Linked DNA regions of Oryza sativa Japonica Group. The protein of the gene in region 2 binds, or shares a complex with, the protein of the main gene of each other region. Links are inferred from orthologs where the notes say so. Each region holds a gene or a part of one and is shown on either strand. Other genes may lie near its edges.

Region 1 (3,458 bases), on a different chromosome or scaffold from region 2:
GCCCACTCATTTCACTCTCAAGCTCTCTGAGAAGATTCAAGATGTTTCGAATTCTCCTTCAGTAATATGGCCCCCACAATAATTAGAGGGGGGAAAAAGGAAAATGAAGAGCTAGTGGACTGAGGAAGAAAGCTAGTGTGCAGCATCTGGCCTTTTGTGAGCTTTGGGCCTTGGCCCATGGAGCGATAAGCAGCAACAGCAGTGAGTGATCAGCAGTAGCAGATGGCCTCAAGTGTATTAAGGTTTAGGTGGTGTGTTTAATCTCCTGAAGATAAATATAAAGATGAAGATTAAGTGTTTCACGCAAAACGATGTAGTAATAATATATGATTAATTAAGTTTTAATTATTACAAACTTGAAAAATGGATTAATATGATATTTTAGAACAACTTTCATATAAAAAGTTTTCCCACGAAACGTATCGTTTAGCAGTTTGAAAAACGTGTCACGAGTATCCAAAAGTTTATCCAACTTTTATTGGAGAAAAGAATAGGGCATAAGTATCACCTCGGTTCCCAAGCTTATGCGCTACATGGTGAGCTGCCCAGTCATTAGCATGGTACTTCCTCCGTTTTATATTATAAGATTTTCTAACATTACCCACATTCATATATATGTTAATAAATCTAGATATATATGTGTCTAGATTCATTAACATTTATATGAATATAGGGAATGCTAGAAAGTCTTATAACCTGAAACGGAGGAAGTATAAAAGAAAAAAACCAACTCATGTGGTGTTTGCGAAGGAGGGACTAAACTAGTCATTTTTGTGATTCCCAAATACCACCTCAATTGGCATTATCTCACATTTCAGTAATGCAGTGTCCGTAAAAAAAACAAGGCATTTGCAAATTGCAATAGATAATGTCTTGGAATCTGATGGATTTGTAACAGCAGCTTTCAGATCTCTCTTTCAATCATCTCCTATGTATATACTGCACTAGTTACAAAAGTAAAAGAGGGATAGTTCTACACGTTCACGGAATCCTTCTCACTCCCTCTCGCTCACATTCATCTCTCGCTCCGTTCGTCCACGCGTCGAACACCTCGCCGTGATCCAATGCTCCAACTCCGCTCGCCGCCGCCGGCGACCAGCTCGCCGTCCTCCGCCGTCTCCTTCCCGACCCTCGCTCCTCGCCTCCTCCCCCTCCGCCGCCGCCGCCGCGGCGCGGGTTCCCAGCTCGGGGGCAAAACGTCGAGCGCCGTGCGCGCGTCGTCGGCGGCGGCGCCGGGCGCGACGGAGCCGGAGGTGATGGTGGAGGTGGCGCACCGGGAGGTGGCGCGGGCGCTCGCGTCCCTGGCGGAGGCGCGGCTGGGCGCGCGGCTGCTCCCCTCCGCCGTGCCGCCCGACGTCGCCGAGTTCCGCAGCGGCGGCGGCGCCGGGAACGCCGTGGGCTCGCTCGACGTGCGCCGCGGCGCGCCGGGATCGACGGTAATGGCACCCCTCCTCTCACTTTTGCTCGTCAGATCGTACAGATTTACCTGTTCTGTCGATTGGAGAACATCAGAATCAGTCATATGAATTAGTGAAATGGTAGTGGTAAACTGGTAATGTCTAGAGCACCATCAGAATCAGTCATATGAATTAAGTAGTGAATCATATGAATTAACTAATTAAGTAGTGAAATGGTAGTGGTAAACTGGTAAAAACAGGCTGGCACAAACAGAGCAGAATAGATCAATGGCATGTCAAAAGACTTGGACAATTTACTGAAACTGTTTTACACTGAAAAATTGCTGCCGAACTATTTGTGATTTGCCCTATCAAGGTGAACTTGCAAACTTTTAGAAGCCAAGATCCATAATCCAACTCTTCGGAGCAAATTATGACTTTTCATTATATTGGCAATGCTCAAATTAGTTCATTTGCTTCCAATATCGAAATGGAAACAATTGGTCTGTTCTAGAGTTTGTACCTCATTCGTGATTCTTCCTATCACTCACAGATTTTGTTTCCTCTCCAAAAACAAAAAAACAAAATCACTCCAACTGAACGGACACAATTGGAGTGGCCAAAATGATCAACAGCATTCAAATTATGAAACTAATCTCACCACTTGAACACCTGAATTATGCTCCCTAGTGCTCAGTAGCTTAGCGTGGTAGAATTTCTTGAGTTCTGCAAGGAATGACAAATGGAGTTAAATTATTAATTTTTCTTGTCTACAGATTGATTTCATGCTCCAGTCCTCACTACACTGCAAAGTCCCAAATGGCGCAATCGACATTACATCTCTTCTCATCTTTCTGAACGCCTCGACAGATGCTCCGCATTTCCTCATGGAATTTATACAAGGTAGCCCAACTTCGATCGTGGTGCTTCTGGACCTTCTCCCACGGAAAGACCTTGCGCTCCATCCCGAATACATAGAGAGATACTATGAGAATACTCAGGTGGACAAACAGCGTGAGAAGGTCGAAGAATTGCCGCAGGCCCGTCCATACCGATCGCGATCCCTCTTCGTGCGCAGCACCTTCTCACTGACAGCAATACTGATGAGCATCGACTGTGGGCAAGGAGGAGAGGGTACCTTGGAAGAGATAGTGCGTGGTCAACTAGCAACAGCTGCTAGGGCACTTCTTCAAATTTGGCTTGATAGTTGTGCTGATCATACTTCAGAGATGGAAGAAGGCGAGAGAGAAAACATGATAAAGAGGGACCAAATTGTAAGGTCCAAGTCAATCGAGGTCGACCTGACTTCAAATTTGCCGAGGATGTTTGGTCCCGATGTCGCAGACCGAGTCATAGCTGAAATCCAGAAGGCCTTTGGGGTACAAGAGGCCTAGCTTTAGAACTGTGACCAGGAATTCATCTGTACATCATTCGAAAGTAATGTTAGTAGTCTTTTGTCCCTTTTGCTTGAACAATCAGATATATTGTGTGATTATAAATTTATAATTGCAAATACCATCAGATGTCATAATTTTGTCTATACAATTATACAAACCAATGTAGTGTTGGTTTTCATGCCGATTTTTTACTCTAGCCGTTTCAACCCAAATCTCGGCCTCCTCTAGAGATACATCGATGCCCTCATTAAAAGAAAGTGCCCAAAAAGATAATATAATTTATAAGTACCAGTAAACTGATTTCACGGGTGGTTTCCTCAATTTCTTAAAGAGAAAGGACAGTCAATTATTTTATTTTACAAATGTATTACTAGTTAATGGATAACTTTACATACCGTGTTTACATATTCTCATCCCATTAAAAATTTGCGATGAATCTAACTGCCTAATTTCATAGATCAACGCACCAGTTTATGACAAAATTGAAATGCTATCAATCAGAAATTCACTAACTACCAGCCATACTAATCCTGGCTCCCTACAGCTACTCGCAGCTCTAGAAGCACACATGGCACAAAACATAAACTCCAAGTTTTTTGGAGAGTTGTTTTTGCCTTCTCTTTTCGGTTGAAATACACAATTATTGTATCAAGAATGGAGAGTT
Region 2 (3,753 bases):
GTTAGTTGTGATCACTTCCCTATTAAATCAAAGAAAGAGTGGAGTTTGAATATAGCTTGAAAGCACAATTGAATGTATTTGGTCAAGCCATAAATAAAAAGACAGCATGAAAATTACATGAGAGCCTCGTCGGAGGTCTCGACCAACGGTTTGTAACTATATGCATTTGATCCAGCATTGTTGATCTGTGCCAAAGGAACACAAAGATAAGGAGAAAATCCTGCCTTCTTATGGTTCTAGATTTTACCCAAAAAGATTCAACACTACATAACTGAGTGCTTCAATTAAATTACTGAAGTTTAAATATTCAAAAAGGGTAGCTGAGAAATTTCGAACACTCATGAGTATGTAGTGAGAATCAGCATAACTTTATAGCCAGTGATTTTCATATTTGTACATATGAAAAGAATATAAACATGAGTAAGTTCATGTGCAGATATTTGATGATGATGGGGTGATTATGTACCCAAATATCAATATACTTCATCTTGTCACGTGCAAAATCAACTAGTGCCTTTACATCCTTTCCTTCCCTAACATCACAGACAATTCCCTGCAATAATACAAATAGAAGCAGTTCAGTTGCATAAGTATTATTGCACTGTAAAATTTTCAACAAACATAATTATAAGTGGAGACTCCAATGGCAGTAAAAGTATCAAGTAGCTCAGCAGTAGGAAGTAGGTACCCACACATGTTGCTCTCCAAATTCCTTTTTCAAGTCAGTCACCGCAGATTCTACCCTTTCAGCTGTAGAGGATAGACTGCATGTCAAGGAAAGGCTAAACTGTAACTTGTTTGCTTTTTTTTTTTTCATTCTCTCACTAAAAGTGGGCTCAAGAAAATCCTAGCAATCCATTTGTTTATTCATTTTAAAATTTCATGAAAGATCAATTTAACAGGTCAGTCATATCAAGCAGATGACCCCTATATAGAGCACCTAATGAGCGATAATGAGCATCAAATGACAAAAGCTGGATAGTGCATATTTTAGTGTTAGGTCAATGGATCATCCAAATGAGAAGAGAGGAAAATAAAGAAACAGGTAAACGAGACTTGACCATGCAAATCAATTTGCAATGCATCTTAGGCTCGATAATTTATCCAATTTTATTTATGTCATCACTCAAAAATAATTACTAAAACTAGCGCTACCTATTGAAAGCACAAAATCATTTCTGTACCTGATCTTGAGCAGATTACAACATTATCGCCAGCCTTCAAAAATTCCTTTGCCAGAGCATATCCTATACCTGTTTAAGAGCAAACAAGGGTCATTGAGTTGTACTACAAAGGTTTTTGAAACAAGCTTCCACAAAGGAAGCGTTTAGGAGATATACCTCTACCACCATTGACCAAAAGATCTAATATGTCAGGATTTAAATATTTTTTTACCACAATACAGTATCAAAGCAATTGCTCCACACAGTTTCAAGCTGATTTGCATTGTTTGATTAAAAGGTCAATGCCGAATGCACTGATGTTCTAGTTCATTTTGTCTTCTAAATTGTGTACTAGAAAGTAGGAAATGAACTAATTAAGCAGGTTCTTATGCTGGTAGCGGCACTACCCACTTCCACCCCTACTTCCAAATTGGTGTTGCTCTCTTCTCGGCTACATAAGGCACGAAAAAACAACATCGCCACCACACCACACCCTGACCATCTGAATTATTTCCAACACAAGCATTCAGAATTTCAGAAATATCGATCACCACCAGTTCCTATATGCTCCTACTAAATTGCATCCCAACAAAAAGCATCCACAGACATCCTACTTCTTTCTTGTAAGCAAGATCAAGCATGCGAAGCAACACGACGACGAGGGGGGGAGAACTCAACAACACCTTTCGTGGAACCGGTGATTAGAACATTATACGGGGGCACCATGGCCGCCCTCCGCGCGACCCCTCCACCACCAGGGACAGCCTCCGCGCGGATACCGGCAGCCTCCGGCCCGCCTCTCGCCGCAAGCCGGCGCCGCGCCGTCCGGCCGGGCAACCGCGCCCCAGCAGCGGCCGAGCCCGACGGCCGGAGCGGAGCCAGGCCCACCTGCGCCTGGGCACGGAGCGGGAGGTAGGCGGCGGTGGCCGCCATTGCGGCGGTAGCGAGACGAGGGGAGGGGAGGGGAGGGGAGCGGAGTGGAGAGGCGTCGTCAACTGCGGTGCTCGCCTTGCCGGCTCGCCGTCGCGGAGTCTGGATAACGATTAACGAGCGAGGATTTTAGAAGGGAGGGGGCCTGCGAGTTAAGTACGGATGTTAAGAGGTGGAGGTGGCCCACAAGTCAGTGTGAGCAATCATCCTTTCTCTCTCTCTCTCTTTTAAACTACTAGTAGTATGTACTAGTACTATTTTGCAAGGTTTTTTTAACTATTATATGCATGTGCTTTACAATAGTTTTTTTTTTCGAACGCGCAAAAGAATTGCACGTCAATATATTAGTAGGAAAAGAGTTTTTGTTACACAAAGCAATCAGCCAGATTGGCTTATGCCTAAAGGGGGGACTTGAAGCTAGGAACTACTACGACGGTTAAAAACGTAATTCCAAACAGCGGGAGGGGGCAAAGCCACGCTACACTCCCAATAAATCCCCAAAAAAAGCAACGCCGACTAAAGACCACAGCTGGCCCTCCGAGCGGATGGACTCCAGAACCACTGCGACCGAAGCGAGCGCAGAGTCGAAAACCCTGGAGTTTCGTTCCTTCCACAGCTACCAGGAGACTAGGAATACCTGGAGTCGAAGCTTTACAATAGTTCCTTTTATAATAGTTTCTTTTCCTTTCTTATAGTAACATGCAACGGACTAAACCATATAATTAGGAATTGACTGGATGAGTGAATTGAGAATAAAACATGGGCTAAACCATATATAATTATAAATTGGGAAGAATGTATTGGATCCTATATAGTTACACACCTATGAGAAACACATGATGAGAAGGGGATGAAAGTAAGATGATTATGCTTTGTTCTAGACTCTAACTCTAAACTTCAACTTTTCTCGTTTTTCGTTAGAACATTTCTCAAACTGTTAAAAAGTGTTTTTTTAAAAAAAAATATAGAAGTTTTCTAAAGGATTCAAATGGACCAACTTATCAAATTTATAATAATTAATAATTAATTAATTATGGGTTAATTGCTTGCTTCGGTTTTTATGCTGCTTAGAAACTCAGTTAGTTGCTTGGCTTTGAGCAGGGTGTTTCAGTTTTACAGGTAAGGAACACTTGGGATTTATGGACTGTAGTGTTAGTGCATACTTGATTCATAAGTTAGACAAAGGGAAAATGTGGCTACTGGGAAGAAACGCCACCCTTCTCTTGTTGCATCTGGGGTAGTGATTACACGTGTCCTGGTAGTAATTAGTAGTACTACGATCGATATGTTGCCGTTGCTTCTGCACTAGTGATACTATTAAGTCTCGATCAGTTCGTCGCTGTCACCATGCCACTCTCGCGGTGAGCGTTGCTTGCTGGTTTGCACATGCTGGCTGTACATCGCATATACTCCCAACCAAATTAATTGTAGTATCCTTGTGCACTGCATTTGCAGAGCATAATATTCTGTCTTGATCTGCATAAGTTCGTCCTCAGCCTCAGTAAACTCTTTGCATACACAACCTGACAATCACTTCATACGCATGAGCACCACATCACACAGGATTGAGAAATTCACACCAACAAATTACACTAAGGACACTCAAAGTAATTAAAACATCTGGGGATGGTCATTATTGTTTATTATTGCTGCACACGAA

Evidence for each region.
Region 1: chlorophyll(ide) b reductase NOL, chloroplastic (region 2) and red chlorophyll catabolite reductase 1, chloroplastic share a complex: the UniProt entries of both Arabidopsis thaliana proteins name them as parts of the SGR1-CCE-LHCII complex. The link is inferred for Oryza sativa Japonica Group from reciprocal best matches to the Arabidopsis thaliana genes NOL and ACD2.

Annotation. Positions count from the first base shown.
Region 1 is NC_089044.1:13,537,280-13,540,737, reverse strand, and holds red chlorophyll catabolite reductase 1, chloroplastic, read left to right. Parts: upstream 1-964; 5' UTR 965-1,064; coding exon 1,065-1,436; intron 1,437-2,173; coding exon 2,174-2,791; 3' UTR 2,792-2,936; downstream 2,937-3,458. UniProt on the Arabidopsis thaliana protein: Catalyzes the key reaction of chlorophyll catabolism, porphyrin macrocycle cleavage of pheophorbide a (pheide a) to a primary fluorescent catabolite (pFCC).
Region 2 is NC_089037.1:26,389,578-26,393,330, forward strand, and holds the start of chlorophyll(ide) b reductase NOL, chloroplastic, read right to left. Parts: upstream 2,219-3,753; 5' UTR 2,097-2,218; coding exon 1,847-2,096; intron 1,254-1,846; coding exon 1,185-1,253; intron 751-1,184; coding exon 689-750; intron 554-688; coding exon 467-553; intron 186-466; coding exon 118-185; intron 20-117; coding exon 1-19. UniProt on the Arabidopsis thaliana protein: Required for chlorophyll b degradation. Chlorophyll b, chlorophyllide b, pheophorbide b and pheophytin b can be used as substrates. Belongs to the chlorophyll catabolic enzymes (CCEs).